Linked DNA regions of Arabidopsis thaliana. The protein of the gene in region 3 interacts with the protein of the main gene of each other region in a pairwise test. Each region holds a gene or a part of one and is shown on either strand. Other genes may lie near its edges. The genes, in order: AT1G57980, MLO10, GONST1 and ATPUP13.

Region 1 (4,113 bases), on a different chromosome or scaffold from region 3:
CAGAGATCCACCATTTTCTTTGTTTTAGCTCCAACGATCTTCTTGGACTCAAGATTTGGTCTGGTTCTGGATTCTGAACGTGTTCTGATTCTTCTGGTTGTTAAAGAAAATATTTAGTTTTTATTTTGTTTTCGAGTACAGAAACAATATTATAAAACTTATGATAAGAATTTGAAATAATTACCATGTCTTGTTGTCTGTTTGGAAGCTTTGGACATCTCCATTAGTTTTCTCTGGTACCTCTGAAGTCTGAACACCCTTAAATATGCAGATTTCATTCTCTGTGGAATGACTAGTTCTATCTTGCAATTAGAAAAGATCTTTCCACTATACCGTACGAAATCTTTTTGACAGATCAGAGTTGGTACTAGTCAAAACCCGGAAAGGTATTACTGTATATATTATACACCGCTACACAAGGTTAATTACTTAATTTAAACGTACATTAAAACCTCTATAAATTAATAATGTTGGAACATGATATTTTATTAATTTATAGAAACTTTTGTTTTAATTGTTAACAAAATATAAGTTAAACAATTTGATCAAAATAAAATTAATATTTTGGAGGTTATAAATTTTATAGTTTCAGACTTAAAACATTTAAAATTACAAATAAATGCAAAACAGAGAAAAAAAAATCAAACTAAAACAATCAACAAATAAATTACACAGTTGATCCATATCTATACAACATATTTTGGACATTGACTTACAAGAATCAGAAAAAGAAACAAGAACAGATTGAGAAACACAAATATACAGTTGACATGAGAGACTAAACTTCTACATTGTTCTCACTTTGGTTAAATTCCACCATCTTCTTCTTGTTTCTTTTGTGCAGAGTGTAGAAGTAAGATCCTAAAGCCAATACTGATCCTATCAAAGCACCAATTCTAGGCCAACTAAAATCATCATCGATAAAATCAAATGCCAACACAACAATAAAAGCCATAAGTGGTGAAGCACACATATGAACAATATTACTAAAAACACTCGAAACATAAAGCACCAAACCTATCAGCCCGACCGCCCAAACCTGCCACGACAAAGCCAACCCGACCAAACTCAGAACGTAATACGTTTCTCCTTTCTTAAACCTCTCGCTATCGCCTTTCAGCTCCTTATACTCACCACTCGCAAACAAACCAACTAGACAAACAACCGAGGCGACAGAAGAGACACATATTTGCATCTCTAAGACCATTCTAAACACTTTCTTGTTACCATATCTCTTTGTCTTCACCAACAGTTTCTCGAAACTAAGTTGGACTAAACAGAGAGATAATGCGAAAGCAACTGAAGCAGCGAAAGTTAACCAAGCTTGGATGCCGTAGAAATGTTCATTTTCATCAGGCTCTCCTGAAAATACAGGACCACCAAAAGCATAGCTCACAAGAATGAGAACTATCGATATGATGATCCATCTAGTAAACTTGAAACGGTTAATGATAGCTGTGAAAATCAAGGTAAAGATCAACTGGGACCCTGAAATCAGCATGAAGAAGCCATAGCTTGAGTATAACTTCCCAAGTGCATACAATTTGCTGTGAGCAGCAACAAGAACACCAAGGGAGAAGTAAAGCAAGATGAGACGAATGGAGAGGAAGCGAGTATTGATGGTTTCAGGGTTTGGTTTTGGTGAAGGGAAAATGAAGAAGAGAGGGATGAGGATTGGAAAAGCAGCGTTTTGGATCAGAGCTTGCATCCATGTTCCTTTGTATTGTAGATCTTGGTTATTATCTTCTCGACGGTCTTGAACATAGAAGAAGTTCAAGAGAAGTATGACAAGAGAATCTCCAAGCAGGACTAAGAAAAGACATATTAGAACAGAGATCCACCATTTCTTTTGATTTAGCTGCAACAGTTGTCTTTGGCTCAAGACTTGGTCTGGTTCAGGATTCTGAACATGTTCTGATTCTTCTGTTGGTTAAAGAAAATTTGGAATTCTCAGTTTTTATTTTTTATTTTTAAGAAGACAATAAGAATAGAAACAATTTTTACAGAAGTTAAGACAGTGAAGTTACCATGTGTTGTTGTATGTTTGGAAGCTTCGGTCATCTCCATGAGTTTTCTCTGGTGGATCTCTAAAGATTTAGATATGTAAATTTCATTCCCTGTAGATTTTCCAATTATTGAGAATGATTGAGGAGAGGCACATTAAACAATGACTAGCTAGTGGTGATTAAATTCTTTATAATAATTAGAAATATTACTAAAACTTATACAAAACCATGCGATCCTTTAGACAGATCAGATTTGGTATACTTTGAAAACGACTCATCAGTTGTGGTCCTTGAGGACATCACTAGGCTATAATTTTATTCCTAACAATCATGTATTAAACATAAGTTAACCTAATAAACTGTCAATCATGATAGAGACTAGACTACTCACTTATGGTCATGCTAAAACACATATTGAAAAACATTAATCAAATAAGCAAAAGTACATAAAGATCATTTAAAGCTCTTATATATATCTCCATAAACATAAGATCATCTCATAAAATAGTTTACATCTCTAACAGGTTCCTTCAAGAACCACAAAAGTTTCTCTTAGAACCAAATCAAGAACAAGTACACATAAGAGCTAAAAGATAAAAGGGTGAAAAATATCTCTCTTGAGTGGCAATGTGGCATGACATGTTGAAGATCCAAGGAGAGTTATAAATAAATCTCTAGAGGAAAGGAAGGAAACTAAGGGTTTTTGTTCTTACAACGTAAAAATTATAGCCTATATATAGGAAAAGACTTGTGAACCCAGGTTAACCAGCTGTGAGAAAGATTTTTTTGTATCTATTTATTAGTTATTACAATACTTTGTTGATGAAAGTAAGAGATAAATTGTAGTGACAAATCCTCATTAACAAAATATTGTAAGAGATAAATACAAAAAAAAAATCAAATCAAAATAATTAACAAATATGTTCCATAGTTTTCAGATCTATACAACATGTTTTAGACATTGACTTACAACATTCAGAAGAACAACAACATATTTTGAAACAGAAACAAACATTTGACATGAGAGACTAAACGTCAATATTGTTCTCTGTTTGGTAAAGCTCCACCATCTTCTTCTTGTTTCTCTTATGCAGAGTGTAGAAGTAAGATCCTAAAGCCACAACTGTTGCTATCAAAGTACCAATTCTAGGCCAACTAAACTCATCATCCATGAAATCAAATGCCAACACAACAAACAAAGCCACAAGTGGTGAAGTACACATATGAACAACATCGCCAAACACACCCGAAACATAAAGCACCAAACCCATCAGCCCGACCGCCCAAACCTGCCACGACAATGCCAACCCGATCAAACTCAAAACGTAATACGTTTCTCCTTTCTTAAACCTGTGGCTATCGCCTTGCAGTTCCTTATTCTCGCCACTCGCAAACAAACCCACGAGACAAACAACCGTTGCGACAAAAGAGACACAAATTTGCATCTCTATGACCATTCTAAACACTTTCTTGTTACCATATCTCTTTGTCTTTACCAACACTTTCTCGAAACAAAGTTGGAATAAACAGAGAGATAATGCGAAAGCAACTGAAGCAGCGAAAGTTAACCAAGCTTGGATGCTGTAGAATTCTTCGTTTTCATCAGGCTCTCCTCCAAATTCAGGACTACCGAAAACATAAATCAAAATGCTGCCGATTATCGATAAGATAATCCATCTGGTGAACTTAAAACGGTTAATAATGGCTGCGAAAATAGCGGTAAATATCAACTGAGTCGCGGAAATCAGCGTGAAGACGCCAAAGTTTGCGTATAATTTCCCAAGTGCAAACAATTTGCTGTGAGCAGCAACAAGAACACCAAGAGAGATGTAAAGTAAGATGAGACGAAAAGAGAGGAAACGAGTATTGGTGGTTTCTTGGTTTTGTTTTGGTGAAGGGAAAATGAAAAACAGAGGAATGAGTAGTGGAAACGCAGCGTTTTGGACCAGAGCTTGCAACCATGTTCCTCGGTATTGTAGATCTTGGTCACTATCTTCTCGATTGTCTTGAACATAGAAGAAGTTCAAGAGAAGCATGACTAGAGAATCTCCGAGCAAGACTAAGAAAATACATAAAGAAACAGAGATCCACCATTTCTTTTGTTTTA
Region 2 (5,796 bases), on a different chromosome or scaffold from region 3:
GGAAAACCTCCATGTAGAAAATAGTATGGTGAAACCGAATAAAGTTGATGAAGAGCTGCTGCCGTCAGGGTCAAGGTTAGAGCTGCAAAATGACACTGACAGAGCAATAGTAACAGATGAAAAACCTTTGGGCACAGAAAATGAAAAATGTTACGAGTTTGAAGATGTGGAACAGTTGATGTCAGAAATAGGAAACATCCGGGACAACTTGCGATTGATGCCTGATTTCCAGAGGAGGGAAATAGCTGCAAATTTAGCGATGAAAATGGCTTCCATGTTTGGAGGTGACACTGATGACGAGGAAGAACCTGAGTGAGTCTGTTTATATCAGATATTGTAAAAGATCAGCGTGAGCTACGGTTTAATCCTTTCTTTATACAATCTTTATCAAAGTCCGTGTCTTGTTTTTTGATAGATTCTGGCAGTAATAGTCAGTTGCACGATGTAATACTTATCTGGGCCGACCTGTTATGTATCGCTTTACTTTTTCTTTAGATACGTAAGAGCTCTAAAATACAGCCTTATACAGAAAACCTAGTTGGTAACACTTGGCGAAGCAATTGTTGGCATACATGTAATAGAAAATAAAGACCGGATGATGGATTTGTTCTGCATTCATTTTGAATATTAGTCAATATCATTAGCAGGAACGTTCTTCACAAAGGAGAATTGGTTTCCAGGACTAATATCTCCAGTATATTCTATCTCTGTGTTCTGATCACCAACCCTGACGAGAGTGTGCCCCTCTATTGGTTCAGGGGATAATGGCTCAGCTTCAAGATCAGACATGCTTTGGTCCTCGAAATTACTCATATAAGAGGCTGTCGAGTGACCAGTGGTCTTGGAGCGGAGTAGAGTGGCTCCAGAGGCGTGAAAGGATGAGGTAGAGGTGCTGACAGTGTCAGAAACACCAAGGGTCTCTGTTGGTGGCTTTCTCGCTTTGCCTTTCTTCTTCTTCACAGTCATGTGCCATTTCTTCAACGCTTTTGCCATTTGCTCATCAAACACAGCTTTCTTCATGTTTGAACCCATCTGCCCACAACAACAACATAAGTTTGTTGCTTAGTTACTACTATATAGCTTCGTAGACACAAATATCTGGAGAGTAAAGGCTGAAATTAGGATAAATGTACCTGAGTAACTAGTGCATACAAAGGAAGTGTGATGTAGCTGCACAAAATCAAAGCTCCAACGCTGCAAATTTATCAAACTTGTTGAGCTAATCGTTCCAAGAGAGATATATCTATTAGTTTATTCACTAGAGAAGAATAAGAATAAATTTTACCCTAGAGAGAGTTTTACGATGACTAGTTTGAAATCCGTGTGAAAGCAAGATTTTAGCCCAAAGGAATACTGCATGCCAAATTAACGAAATGTATCAAGTCATTTGTATCAATAGAAGAGAATATGTACATGGTCCAAAAGGCAAACAACTAGTGTATTGCGCATAGAATATAGAGAGATGTTGTTACCCAGACCCAGAAGAAGTATGTTAGCTGGAAAGCATTCTATACAAAAAGAAGGAGCATTTAGACAGCATGGCACAAAAGTTGAAGACAAGTATATGTAACATGCAATGGTAGTTTTGTTTGGAACTGAAAACAATGCAAGTACCTGAAATAAGGCGAAGTGAAGAAGATGAAGTAGCAACTGAGGGCGATTAAACCAAAAGTACTTATCTGAACCATGCACGAGAGGTATCCCTTGAACAACTGCGTGTCTCTCCGTGATTCCCAGAGCCATTCTTGTTAGGATCGCTTGAAGCTTCGTACTGACAGCTAGAATGATCTGCAAGGGGTTGTAAAAATGAGACATACAAACACAGTATAAGATTCGCTCAAGAGTATAACTTGTCTTACAAGTACAGGTAGGATTGACGCCCAAAACAATGCTTCCCAGCCTAAACAGGAATGGGATTATTTATTCAGTAGAACAATAACCAATGGCTTGGTAAAAGAGCAAGCAAATGCAAAGCTGACTCACCATTAACATTCAGAAGTAGGAAAATTACAAATGATGCCCACAAAAGAGGACTGCACAGTACAGTATCAGCAATGTCAACAAACACCTCTCAACGCAGTACTAGCTCTAGCACTGTTTTGTGCTACGTACCTTATTCCAACTACCACCTTGAAATCGTCTTCCAATGATCTTTTGATATACTTCTGGAAGTCGAACTTTCTTCCTGGAGCTAAATGGGCCTAAAGGAGACTCACCCATAAGCATCACACCATTAGTGGAAGGCAAATACAAGAGAGAATTGAGTTTTGCCTTACAGCGATGAAGCCATGGCGCAGAGTTAAGTAGTCAGTCCTCCCTACAGATCGGAAAAACTGCTGTAGGAAGCACCCCTGTAAATCAGATGGTTGAGAGAGCGAGCAAAAATCAATTTTTAATCAACAAACTTGATGCCACGAGGGCATGCTCAAGAAGAAGTAAATGCATGCTTCTCACAGCATAAAAGAAGAAGGGGATTTTTGTCCAGAAACTGGAATGTTGTCTAACAAAGGACGTCTCATGAGTGAGTCTGAATCTTGATGGATCTATGCATAGAGAGGAGCCACTTTAGTGACCTATAAAACAAAGGTTTAATTTAATGAACAAGAACTCGCCTACCGATTGAAAACTCGTAATCATGAGAACATGTCTCCTGCTCCCACTTTTTCCAGCCACGGATCTGCAGTTACAGAAAATGATGAATAGCTAGGATTACGAAAGTTTGAGATAAGAAAATCAGGGCTTGTCGTACCTTGAGTCTGCCAAGCATCATGGTGATGAAACTGTAGAGGATATGAAAGGCAGCCATGAAGAACAATAGAATGTGTAGCTGGTGCAAACCCGTGGCAGGTATGAGTGGTTCATGACCCTGCGGACAACAAAAAAGTGTTAGAGAGATAGAGCTAGAGCGTAAATTTTTTAGTACAAGGGAAGCTAGAGATGACCTCATCGCAGCGGGAAGAGGTCGTAGCAGCAGCTAGACGTCTGCGGTGGGTCTTGTCTTGGTCATGAGTAGAAGGAGCTGGACAAGGTAACATAGAGGCTGCAGCCTTTTCAGGAATACAAATCTTGAGAATGTACTGCTCTCCGAAGGTGAGCAACAAGGAAATGAATCCTAGAATCATCAGCTCTGCATCCATTTCATATATCTTAGTTTTCTTAACCAAATACGGTAGGAGAAAACAATTCTCTGGTCTTACCCGCCTTTATTTTCTCCAAGGCTTCAAGCAGAGAGTTCTTATGTTTCTCCCACAACCACTGAGAAATAAAATAAAAGTTTAGAGGGCGGAAGTAAAGGAAGAAAGAAAAAAGGGAATTCAGGGCAAACCGTGGCAACTCTGTGAAGAGCCTTCTCGAGGAGGACGGAGACAAGAATGAAGAAGGTACAGACGAGGGCAACGGCCCAGGTGGGAGTTTGGGAGAGTCCTTTCTCTTTGGCGCCGCCTGCAGAGGAAGCTCGGGCAAAGCCGGTAAGCAGCTGAGAGCAGAAGAGCAAAGTGGTCCAACACCAAAAGCATCTTGTGGCCATGGTAGCCAAAAGAAGAAAATCCCTTGGTCCTTGATTACGTACGTGAAACAATGAAGAGGGCAAATAAATGCGGTGTTGACTGAAAGTCCGTTTACTGTGATATGTAATGCATAACAATAAATTATGGGAAGAGAATCAATCGTCAATGTTTGTTTGACACTGGAGGTACTTGAGAACAATCAACCTAATAACACTCCTCCATGTCTCTTTTCGAAACCCAACCCTTACAGTAGTCAACAACAAACTAATGTCACTGTTGTGGCTCTATATATCAAAACTAAATGACAATTTGATCCCCTGTGAGAGATCAGAGGGGTAGAAGAACAGAATCGTCCAACACACTCGTCAGTTTGACTATTTGGTTATGCTTTTATGATTGCTTTCCCCTTTTAGTATTTCCACTTTTAGTTAAATATAACCCAACTTGCAACTTTAGAGATATAGAATGTTATCTTACTCTTGGCCGTTGCTCCACTATCTACCACCTTTATTTATTTTTTCTTTTCTTTATGTACCTACAATTTTTTAAATGCATGGAGGAATCATCACTTTCTCAGCCTGGGATAACTAATATGATTATAACAAAAGGCTCCTCTTTGTCTCTATCAAGTTTCTTCCCTCTTTTTAGTTTCACGTAATCCGATCATGTTGTAAAGTTTCTTTGTAGAAATATATATTTTGACAATGATAAAACTAAATGTATTAGAAATATATCTTCATTTGATCATCTATCGTTGATCATATGAATAATTTGGAAACAAATGGACAATGAGCTAAGCCCATATATAGGCCTCACAATAGCTGCCTCATACATACATACCATGGGCTCTTTTAGGCCTATCTACTTCTTTGTTATATGATCGAAATCAAAAGGTGCCCTTGTGTAGACACGCCATTTCCTAGTCACGCAACTATCTTATCTCCCGGACTTGTTCTACCACAAAACCTGGTCTCATCCTTCTTACCGTTTTCTTGTTTAAACAAATATTTGACTCTCTTACTTTTAATTTATTATAATCATCAGCACACGTAATTCTCCGAGACATACAAGCAAACGACGGTTTCCTCTTCCTCATCTTGGTTTTAATCCCACAAGTTTTTTTTAGCATATCACTTATTTTTTGATTGGATAAATAAATTCGAACAAGATACTGTGGAGTTGTAAAGAGGAAACAGAGGAGATGTGCAGGATGAGATTATTTTCCCCAAATTACAATGCAACTGTTTTCCATGTGTGCATATGTGATATGTGCAGGGTTGGGATCAGTCAACTTAGCAGAGTGGCTTGTGAAAGTCACACATATCACAGTTGACATTTTTTTTATTGATATTTGTAATAAAGTAGAGAGTATGAGCCTATGAGGAGCATTGTGGACTTGGCATAGCAATCAGCTTGGGGGTCAAATTCAAGAGATGTTTTGTATCGTGACTTTATGTTAGGTGATAAAGACAAATAATATTATGATTAAAAGGTCAAGTTTGGCCACTTTGAAAAATGTTAGTTTGTTAGTTGTGACTCATGTGCTCGAATATCCATGGATAGTTTAAATACATCTCTCTAGCTAGAGAAAAAGAAAGCGGAAATAAAGATATAAAAATATTTGGAAAGAAAGATACTGGGAGCAATTTAGCTACAGCATGACGATGAGTCTTACTTTGATTCTGTCAACATTATTAACCTGAGACAATCCCAAAAGTCTTTCGTCCCAATATTGAATCTTCTAATTTTGATATCTATGTGATTTTGCATATGCACTACCTGAGAGACCAACAGTACCTAGAGGCCAACTTGTCCTTTTTATTCACCTTTCTTGCATGACTTTTCCTATGTTGAAAAGTTAGACTCCTCTTTTACACTTCATGTACCCCACTCCTATACGTATTTAATCTAAATATATATACCCACCAATCCTCTCCATCTACACAAACAGCCCAAATATCAAACCTTTCATCTCTATATCTTTAACCTTGACTGCTTCTCTTCTTCTACAAGAAACCAGAAAAAAAGAAAAGAAAAGAAAAAGAAGAGATTAGGGATGGGTTTCTTAGAGTTGTTGGAGGTGGCTTCAATGCCAATCGTTCAAGTTCTTCTTATCAGCGTCCTTGGCGCTTTCTTGGCAACCGATTACTGCTCTCTTCTCTCTGCTGACACCCGAAGATCCGTGAACAAGGTCAACCTCCGTCTCTGCTTTTCTTTTTTCTGTTTGGTGTCAACTATGCATGCATTCATATATCATCACTAACAAACATTTTCCCTCGCAGCTCGTCTT
Region 3 (5,877 bases):
ATCGTTGTCTTACTCTCTACTGCTTCAACAGTCGTCTGAGATCTCTCGTCTTCTTTATTCTTCAACACCGAAAAGGCAGTGACTTGACGAGCCATAGTTCCCGGTTCTTCTTTCTTCTTCAACTCCGAACACATTTTTAGAACATGCTTCTTCATCTTCAGACGATCTTTGGTAAGAGCAGCTGTGAAAGAGTTGTCGCTTCCATGTGCGTAGAATGTCTTCAACCATGAATGAAACAAGGCTTGGGCTTCCTTACGGATTCTAGGGTTCCTATGACTTCTCAAAGTCTCCAGTTTAACTATTGATTCAGACAATCGTATATCCTTCACGGAAAGAGACAGAGACTTCAAGTGATTCAACACATCGATGCATCGCTCGACTTCGCATGGGTTCCGTGTATTGTAAGTAGCCTTAATTGCAGCAGCAGTCAAGTCGCATAAGTCAGATCTCTCCTTCGCAATTCTCACTCTCATCATCTTTCCGTCGTTCTTGATCATCAGGTGGCTAGGGTTTTCAGTTTATGTTGAAATCTCATACCATTGAATTTCTTTACTGGAAAATTGGTAAAAACGAAGAAACACATAAACCAACACTTCTCTTACCACTCAAGAATCGATACATTCATTAATATTTTACTAACATTATACAAGTAGAGTGGCGAAAGCTTTTACAAGAAACACATAACGTGCATAGAATTCTGAGGTTATAAACTCATTGCTCTGCTTTAATCAGCTTTTGCCATGTCCTATACTGATTGATGTAGTAAAATGTGTTGTAGATGGTTAGTATTTTAGGACTTCTCCCTCATTTTGGCTCTAGCAAATACAACTCCAGCGACAAGACCTGCAAATTAGGCCACCTCAGGTTTAATAATAATACACAACACAAGCGATATGTGTTCCTTCAAGAAGTTGGAAAAGGGAACTGATCGAGAGAACGCTTACCAAAGAGTATGCTTGCTGAGTTCTGCAAACTGGTCGGTACATTGAAAAGAACGATCCCCGCGATGGATAGAGGTATCTTGTTTAGAGATCCCACCAGGCTATGATTTTGAATAAAGCGAAAGATGTATCTAGTTAGGACTGAACCAACAAAGAAGCAAACATAGGAAAGGGATATATGGAGAAGGCTAGGGGACAGCAACACTCTCTTAAGCAAAGTTTTGAAATTGCTCTATCTCTCTCTAATTTGCTACCTGTATGTTGTTGCTCCAGTTTGATGAAGAAACCACATTGAAGTAAAGCTAATGGCAAGCCCTAGAAGTCCACTAAGTGTCATGACCATCCAGAAACTTGGTAATCGTAGAAGTGGCCTGCACAAATATAATACACCATTTTGTTTTCAGATGACACAAACCATTTTCCATTGACACAGAAATAAGGACAGGAACTCACGTTTGATAGAGATAATCCATCTCGTTGAAGAAATAAGAAAGAAGAAGCCCAAGTGGTAATGAAAGTGTGTTATTAAGCAAGACCATGGAGAACTCGTTCAAGTTTCCAGATTGAGTAACCTGCTTGGCCGTATCCATGGTCTTTCTCAAAGTCAGCTGCAAAACAACAAAATATAAGGCAAGTCAAAAGTGGTGGCAAATTTTATAAGAGTATAGTAGCCTAGCTAACAAGCCAAACACTTGGTTTTTGTTGACAGGATATAGGGATAAATTTATGGGAACCTAACAGTCTAACACTCTCGTTTTTTGACCCAGCAATGGAAAACCTAGTGAGAACTGAGAAGTTGATGGTGTCAATTTGCATTCTTTGCCCAAAGTCTTCTCTTTAACATGCTATTCCTACTTCTAACAACGAGTGAAGTACTCAGGTTACCAGTGACAATGGATTGCAAGCTATAAAATTTTCTAAGGTAACAGAATCTCGGTATCTCGTGAGCATCTTAAAACTCAAAAGCAAGCCAGTATCGTAATGATTATAGGGAAGGCTGTTTAGTTTATTGACTTAGTCTTAACCAAACAGCATGTAATACTCGACATGAAAGCATGGTTTTTAAGTGATCTCCTTTTCATATATGTGTTTATTGTTTCAAATGACTCCTAACATTTTGGGAAAAGAAAACACAAATGATCAAATGTTTACTCACCGAGTACGATGCAGTTAAGAAGCAATTAGCAATCTGCCAAGCATAGCCAACAGCATTGAATGATAGGTCTGTTATTCCTCCAGAAACTGCGGAAATTATCTGCAAATGAAGGACGAAAGAAGCACAGGTTAATCAAAACTTTATCCTCTACTTATTCAAGATCTATACAAAAACAAATAGAATATACATATAACAATGAGTAGCCGTGACAAAAAAACATGATTACATTTCCCTGGCAGACTAATTGTGGAAGCAGTTAAAAACATGTATCTCCAACAGTATTGAAAGGTTAGGCTATGCCACACCACTGAAAGCCGCTACGACAAGTGTAACTGTGTACGCACACAAAAGGGTGGATCACTTATCAATAAGAAGATATGCTTTAGACTTTATTGGTTAAGGTTGATGATCAGAGAGTGCTTTGAGAAAACAAGAGAAAACCAAATCCAAAACAGTATAGAATCGTTGTTTGACAAGGATATCTTTCAAAAACTCCAATCAAAATGCTATCTATGTGCAGCTTGAAATAGGTTCCTTGAGAATAGTTTTTTCTCAGGTACAATTTACAGAATCAGTTAGAAATACTTTTAAAGCAGACAAACATACCATTAAGAAGAGAGCAGCCCACACTCTGTTGTCATGTTGCTTGTTGAACAGATACATCTCACCAACTGCAGTTATCACATTAGTGACATTCTTCAGGACAGTGACCATTGCTACATTGATGTATTTCAAACTGTCAAAGAAAATGTAATTCAAATAGACAATCAAGTTCAATCTGCTCTTCAAACACCGCCTACATACACATATACGATACATATCTATATATCTCGACCTACTGTGAAGTAAATCCAAAATATCTATCTGTTTCACCTAAGTGTCTACACGTTATTTAATCCTCGATCTGCTGTAAAGATGATGTACAGATTCTTATAACTACCTTTAGTACTCCAAAAAGTTGACTTTACTAATTTAGTAATCTTATAGGCTTGAGAATTAAGAGAGCATCGATATATAATTCAACAAACCAACACAAAATAAAGGTGTAGAAACACATTCTTACCTAAACATGCTTGTGATAAGCATACCAACAAAGATGACATTCACTGGAAACCAGACCTTCATCAACCTCAAAGTAAGTGGTTCAGTAGTTATTAGACCCATTAAACTCAAACCAACCACAATGATCACCGAGACAAAGTTCTGGTATAACATAAGGAAGATCCCAGCATTGAAGTTGTAGCTGGAGAGAACAAACTTGTTGACAAGTATCATACTGCATGATGAAATGCAATAAGCTAAACCGGATAACAAAGCCCGGTTATGTATCTTTCTTGGAATTGGTTTATCTCCTCCGGATTTTACTGTCTTCCCATCTTCTAAATCAACTCCATCGTGTTCGTACAATTTCATTGCAAAGCTAAGACCTACCAAAGAAACTAACTTCTTTCAAGCTTATATAACTAGATCCATCATTCTTAACAATACACGCACAAAAAAAGTAACAGTTTTACATAAAAACCAATTCGGTTCCAATTCGCAGCTAAAATCAACTTAAGACGAGATTGGATCAAGCAGCAAAGTTGAGAGTAGCTACACAAGCGTTAATCGGAAGTTGTGTAGAGAATAACGAATTTTACCTCGAAGTTGTCCAAAAGCTCGCGAACTAAAGATTCAACTTCGGACGAGATCTAATTGATGACAAGTTACCGGAAAAAAAAAAAACTATGAATCGGAAGAAGAAGAAGAACATGAAACTTGCTCACGCGGAGGATCTTCGTCAGGTCGTGGTGGAGCTATCTGTGAAATGTTGTTTTGAAGAAACAATGGAAATTAGGAAACTGAAAAGACGAGGGAGAGAGATGGCATTGACCAGAAGAGAAAAAAAAAAAAAAAACTGACCAATTTTCGTTTCTTTCGTTTGTTTATTTATATTAAAATTAAGAGTTTCGTAAGTTAGAGGAAGTTCCATTATGTAAAACAAAATAAATTTTCTCAGTGGGTATTTCAAAATTGACAAACTCATCAACTACTCATGTCAAACATGTCTAAATGAATAAATAAAACTAGTATGTATTTCTTGAAATTAAAAATTATTCCAAAGCGAAAAATAGCCTTTTATCTATAAATACAGAATAATATTGATCATTTTTAAGACAATAAAACAGAATAATACTGATCATATACAAATAGGCCATATACAAATATGTCATAACTATACTAAAATTTAAGAAAATATTAGCTATTTAATACTATCAAACAAATCTCTTCATTGAGGTCATTCAACACAAACATTGTTATTTATAAAAAAAGAACACAAACTTTGTTTGGAGTAACTTTGACAGTTACACGTTAAATATGTTCTCTCCTAAGGTATTGAGCTTATGATGTTATTTTGTTAATTTTCATCATTTTATAGTTATTGGTTATTATATAAATCTCTTATATATTGAGAAGAAATAATAATATAAACATAAATTATCTAATTTAGTTATAATGGTTTGGTACCATATGGTCCAAATCACACAATATGTTGTACAATTTGCTTTTTTGGAAAAATGTCATTTAAATCAGTAGTTTACTATTTTTGTTGATTTAAACTATGAGTTCTGTATCTGGTAATTTAAATTCTCAATTTTTATGTTGATTTTCAATTTAATCACGAATTTTCGTTAATTAAGCAAATTGAGGCACAATTTTTTCTCTTTCGCACCATCAATCGACATAGAGATAAGAGATTATTTTGAATTTAAAGAAGAAGAAGGAATCAAAAAAAGGAAAGAATTCAAAAAAGAAAAGAGGGAAAAATGAAAATCGATTTTGGATTCTAGTGTTTATGATTTAAGAAATTTATAATGATGCGTCTTAATTAGTTTAATCAGTGAGAATTCGTATTTAAATTGATAGTCAGTGCAAAAGTGTACTACTGTTATGTGTCTCTAAACTTGGCAATTTGACACAAAATCTGAATGAATAAAAATAAAAGTTTGGCAATAATGGTCCATTTGCCTTTTTGCTTTGTACCATACCGTTGACCTTTCGGCTTAATTCTTTCCACCAGAAATTTTAGCCTATCTATTTTGACTCTTTGACACAGTCCACTTCTAAATCCACTAGCCATAGCCCAAGTTACTCGAGCACGTAAAATAAAATCCTTTAGGCCCAAAAGAACCAGTGTAGCCAAACGCATGACCATTTTGTTTTTTCCGTAACGCATGACAATTTTTATAACAAAAATATATTCACACTCTAATGTTAACGACACTCATCTTGTTCTTGAGAACAAATAGTTGAATATCATTTTCGTATTATAACATTTAATGAAAAGAGTTTTCTATCTCTTCTCTCTTTCATATCTTTTACAGAGAGGGAGCTCTGTTTTTCTTTTGTAATCTCCGTCTTCAATCAGAGCTTTTTGGTTTGTGTTTTAGATTTCCTGTTTTGATGCCGGTTTCTCTTTCCGACTTGTTCGGATTTACTTTCTTTCTTTCTCTTTTGGTTGCCTTTTGCAGGCTCAAATTAACTCTTCCAATTTCGGGAAGATGAAAATTCCAGAAGTCATCAAATGGATCCTTGTTCATTGAGTGCTTGATTCTTCTCCCAAGTGAAGGTAATTCCTTGCTCCGCCAAAAGGGCTTGTTTAGAGCATCGGTTCTCCTTGGTGGATTGATCAAGTTGATGCGGTTGATTGGGACGGAGTATGAAGAATTGGAGTCTTCGTCTTGTTCTGATGAATATTTCGGGCTAATCGGCTGAGGTTACAAATTCTCGTGATCAAGT
Region 4 (4,093 bases), on a different chromosome or scaffold from region 3:
TCCTACAGAACGTGAGATCACTCATCACCTTGAGGAAAAATTCATCCACTTGAGGTGCCTTATCTCCGGTCTTGATAGGCGCTATGATAATGCTGCTTAAGAAATACAAGACCATCATCCTCAACCTTTCTTTTGATCTTTCACCCTCCGGTACCATTCCTATGAGCTTCTCTCTCACGTCTTCGCGTTTCACAACAGTATCCTTGAAATGCTTCCTCTTGAAATCCAAATTCCCCGTATTTTTGTAACCAAGTTTATAGTTCTTGCAATTGAAGTCCGATATCAATGCGTGTTCCAATATTCCATATCGGATTGGAACGCCATTGACGATGAACCACGCTTCTTTCTTCCTTTCAATGCGCGCCGTGCGAAGAAGGAGCATCCACATCCCCATAAGTCGGTGGTTCGGGTCTCTTGGCATGTGGAAGATATGTTGGAAACTAGGATGGTTCTCAAACCATAACCTCTCGGACTTGCTCATCGGCGGCTCCAACTTATCGAATGTAGTCAACAATTCGTGAATATAGCACCGAGTTGAAAGCTTGATTTTCTTCACATATTCCGAGGGCGGGAAATACATACTCAAGGGTGGTACTGCTTCTGTTTCCTCGTCGATCTCCTGCAACAGACATTCATTCATATTACTACCGATGGTACATAGAATCATACACATAGTTATATCCTAGTAATGACAGCATTATCCAGAAATCATACACGTAGTTGTTTCCTAGTATTGACAGTTTGACCCAAAAACGCATAGTTATATCCTAGTAATGACAATATTATCCAGAAATCATATACGTAGTTGTTTCCTAGTATTGACAGTTTGACCAAAAAACGCATAGTTATATCCTAGTAATGACAGTATTATCCAGAAATCATACAAGTAGTTGTTTCCTAATATTGACAGTTTGACCCAAAAACGCATAGTTATATCCTAGTATTCTCCACAAATCATACACGTAGTTGTTTCCTAGTATTGACAGTATGACCCAAAAACGCATAGCTATATCCTAGTAATGACAGTATTCTCCACAAATCATAGTATTATCCTGTTCTACCAGTTTCAAACCATTCAAAGACTGAGAATTGACTCGAAATCCTTACCATAGCCGCCGGAATTTCCACTGCAGTTGATGTCTCCTCATCCATATTCTCATCGGCGGAGGTCTCTTCCCCAAGCTTCTAGTACTATCATCGGAGGACTCTTCTCCGCCAACATTCTCCTCTTCTTCTTTCTCCTCTTCCTCCTCTTCCTCCTCTTCCTCTTCCTCCCCTTCCTCTTCCTCTTCTTCTTCTTTCTCTTCTTCTTCTTTCTCTTCTTCTTCACTCTCTTCTTCCTCAACATTCTCCGGATCTTGCTCTGTCAGCGACGGCTCCTCCGTCCTCGTCGGCGCAGTCTCCTTCGTTGCCGGCGCAGTCTCCTTCGTCGGCGCAGTCTCCTTCGTTATCGTCGGCGCAGTCTCCTTCGTTGCCGGCGCAGTCTCCTTCGTTGCCGGCGCAGTCTCCTTCGTTGCCGTCGCAGTCTCCTCCGTCGTTGATTTCACGGTCGTTCCAACTCCTCTCTTCCTCTTCTTTAGAGGCGGCATTGTTTTCGGCGGCATTAGGGTTAGGATTAGAGGAGAAGAAACGATTCTGAGAGAAAAGAGAGAGAATTAGGGTTCGTGTTGTTGAGAATTTGAGTGAAAGGGAGAGGAGTTGTTTGTGTTCACAGAGAATCGAGAGAGAGAGAGAGCGGTTTCTCTCGGAACTCGTTTCTTTGAGTGAGGAAAAAACGAAAAAATTGTAAGTGTTGAGTCTGAATTTTTTTTTTTTTTGGTTTTCAAATTAAAGTGAGAGGATATCTTGGTAAAATCCTTCATTTATGTATTTAAATTAAATCACAAATAGGTTCTGTTTTTTGTGGGAAGATATGAGATTTTCTTCAAGCAAAAAGGGAGTTATGAGATGATTGGTCGTCCTCGCCGGAGAAAAGATACGAGACTTGTCTCTCAATCCTGAAGCAGACTCGATTCATCCATCAGTCAACAAATCTTCCTTCACAATGGGTATATCTCTTTAATGTTCCTTACTTCAATTTCAGTTTCGATTCTAGAAATGAAATAAACTGATTAATTGTCAAAACCCAATTCCCAGATTTTTCTTAATCCCCAGATTAAAATTGTCAAAAACAAAAAATTGGGGTTTTCATAAAAATGATAAATTTCTTAAAAGATGAAAACTTTATGTGTTTTTTTCTTTTGGGTAACAGATGAAGAAGAAGCAATGTTACTGCTAAAGGAAGAAGATGAAGGAACAAGAAGAACTAGTGTTCCTACACAACTCATGAAACTAAAACGAACCCATTGGTGGATTCTTGTCTTTATAAGTATCTTCTTCCTCATCTCTGCACAAGCCATTGCTGTTCTTCTTGGTCGGTTTTATTACAACGAAGGTGGAAACAGTAAATGGATCTCTACTCTTGTCCAAACTTGTGGTTTTCCGATTCTCTATCTCCCTCTTTGTTTCCTTCCTGCTTCACACTCTTCTTCATCTTCTTGTTCTTTCAAGACTCTGGTTTGGATTTATCTTTCTCTTGGTTTTGCTATTGGTTTAGACAATCTTTTATACTCTTTTGGTCTTTTGTATCTCTCTGCTTCAACTTATTCGATTCTTTGTTCTTCACAGTTAGCTTTCAATGGTGTCTTCTCTTATTACATCAATTCTCAGAAAATCACTTGTTTGATTCTCTTCTCTGTGTTGTTTCTCTCTGTCTCTGCTGTGTTGGTTTCTCTTGACGATGATTCCAATAGCCCATCAGGAGATTCTAAGTGGAGTTACTTGATTGGTTGTTTATGTACTGTTTTTGCTTCTCTTATCTATTCTCTTCAGCTCTCTCTTATGCAGTTTTCTTTCGAGAATGTTCTCAAGAGTGAGACGTTCTCTATGGTTCTCGAGATGCAAATCTATACGTCGCTTGTGGCTTCTTGTGTTGCGGTTATCGGGTTGTTTGCGAGCGGGGAATGGATGTTGTTGAGTGTGGAGATGGAAGAGTTTCACGAGGGTCAAGTCATTTATGTTTTGACTTTGGTTGGGACCGCGGTTTCGTGGCAATTGGGTTCTGTAGGAGCCGTGGCGCTTATATTTCTGGTTTCTTCGCTGTTTTCGAACCTTATTGGTACACTCTCACTCATTGTTACGCCTCTTGCAGCCATTGCGGTGTTCCACGACAAGCTGACTGAGGTTAAGATGGTCGCGATGCTCATTGCCTTCATGGGGTTCGGGTTTTATATCTACCAGAATTATCTTGATGACCTGAAAGTACAAAGAGCACGAGAAGCTCAGGCTGAATAGTTCTGCTGTGTTTTATTAGTTAATTTTGTTAGTAACCTTTCTTAGAACAAGCTAGCTACAAGTGTTGTATTGTATATAGTAGAGTTCATAATCCGGTGATAATATACATAATACTAATTGCATATGGAGCTTGTTTTTACGGGCCAAAGTTCTATGCAGAATCTACATACGTAATAGATCAACGTATGAGGTTAAGTATAATGGTGGATTCATCGAGAATCTCGGAGACACACATGTTGTTTCAGAAGATCATGATGTTGCTGATCTTGAAACAAACATGGTTGAAAGCAATAAACATGTTGATGATTCAACTTTGAAAGCTTCTTCATCAAAGAGGAAGATGGTTATTAAGGGGTTTTGATTGATCAAAAAGAAGAATCTAGTTACCAATATGTCCTTAGGCACGTCCATACATAAAATAGAAATCACACTCGGAAAAGGTGGACAATTAGCTAGAGCAGCGGGTTCCACATTAAAATTACCTTCAGGAGAGGTCCGTTTCCGAAAACTGCTACTATGTCTACTACAAATTTTGTTTTGCTAAGACAAGTATTTCTACTACTATGAAATTCATAAATAAAATAGTTAATCGTGTGGTAATCATTCCTTTTTTTTTTGTTATCTTGCAAGTGGTCCTAAAAAAAGGGAATTTGTCAAATTTTCGAGGTCTTAAAGAGTGTGGAATCACATAAGAAACTCTTGAATGTAATTGGAAAAGAGATGTAACTCCAGTTCTTTTGGAAATAGAAAGATCTTTGAC

Evidence for each region.
Region 1: the proteins of GONST1 (region 3) and AT1G57980 interact in a protein complementation assay, tested with the Arabidopsis thaliana proteins (one large-scale study listed by BioGRID).
Region 2: the proteins of GONST1 (region 3) and MLO10 interact in a protein complementation assay, tested with the Arabidopsis thaliana proteins (one large-scale study listed by BioGRID).
Region 4: the proteins of GONST1 (region 3) and ATPUP13 interact in a protein complementation assay, tested with the Arabidopsis thaliana proteins (one large-scale study listed by BioGRID).

The regions. Positions count from the first base shown.
Region 1 is NC_003070.9:21,438,666-21,442,778, forward strand, and holds AT1G57980 (Nucleotide-sugar transporter family protein), read right to left. Parts: upstream 2,183-4,113; 5' UTR 2,068-2,182; coding exon 2,028-2,067; intron 1,924-2,027; coding exon 779-1,923; 3' UTR 541-778; downstream 1-540. Other genes in the region: PUP17 (purine permease 17), read right to left, coding at 1-93, 185-224; PUP18 (purine permease 18), read right to left, coding at 3,035-4,113.
Region 2 is NC_003076.8:26,386,882-26,392,677, forward strand, and holds MLO10 (Seven transmembrane MLO family protein), read right to left. Parts: upstream 3,887-5,796; 5' UTR 3,527-3,886; coding exon 3,326-3,526; intron 3,256-3,325; coding exon 3,198-3,255; intron 3,128-3,197; coding exon 2,943-3,127; intron 2,867-2,942; coding exon 2,750-2,866; intron 2,678-2,749; coding exon 2,617-2,677; intron 2,544-2,616; coding exon 2,455-2,543; intron 2,352-2,454; coding exon 2,277-2,351; intron 2,202-2,276; coding exon 2,113-2,201; intron 2,034-2,112; coding exon 1,984-2,033; intron 1,901-1,983; coding exon 1,860-1,900; intron 1,789-1,859; coding exon 1,615-1,788; coding exon of another isoform or gene 1,509-1,614; coding exon 1,473-1,508; intron 1,354-1,472; coding exon 1,286-1,353; intron 1,195-1,285; coding exon 1,134-1,194; intron 1,033-1,133; coding exon 628-1,032; 3' UTR 547-627; downstream 1-546. Other genes in the region: AT5G65960 (GTP binding protein), read left to right, coding at 1-316; AT5G65980 (Auxin efflux carrier family protein), read left to right, coding at 5,563-5,697, 5,789-5,796.
Region 3 is NC_003071.7:5,686,794-5,692,670, forward strand, and holds GONST1 (golgi nucleotide sugar transporter 1), read right to left. Parts: upstream 3,979-5,877; 5' UTR 3,738-3,978; intron 3,525-3,737; 5' UTR 3,511-3,524; coding exon 3,161-3,510; exon of another isoform or gene 2,917-3,160; coding exon of another isoform or gene 2,834-2,916; coding exon 2,704-2,833; intron 2,197-2,703; coding exon 2,098-2,196; intron 1,550-2,097; coding exon 1,395-1,549; intron 1,313-1,394; coding exon 1,196-1,312; coding exon of another isoform or gene 1,192-1,195; exon of another isoform or gene 1,043-1,191; coding exon 945-1,042; intron 844-944; coding exon 791-843; 3' UTR 523-790; downstream 1-522. Other genes in the region: AT2G13640 (Transcription factor IIS family protein), read right to left, coding at 1-497; AT2G13660 (uncharacterized protein), read right to left, coding at 5,499-5,824. UniProt on the Arabidopsis thaliana protein: Involved in the import of GDP-mannose from the cytoplasm into the Golgi lumen. Required for the luminal synthesis of a variety of plant cell surface components. Is required for the correct mannosylation of the glycosylinositol phosphoceramides (GIPC).
Region 4 is NC_003075.7:5,565,238-5,569,330, reverse strand, and holds ATPUP13 (Drug/metabolite transporter superfamily protein), read left to right. Parts: upstream 1-1,872; 5' UTR 1,873-2,044; coding exon 2,045-2,048; intron 2,049-2,251; coding exon 2,252-3,333; 3' UTR 3,334-3,558; downstream 3,559-4,093.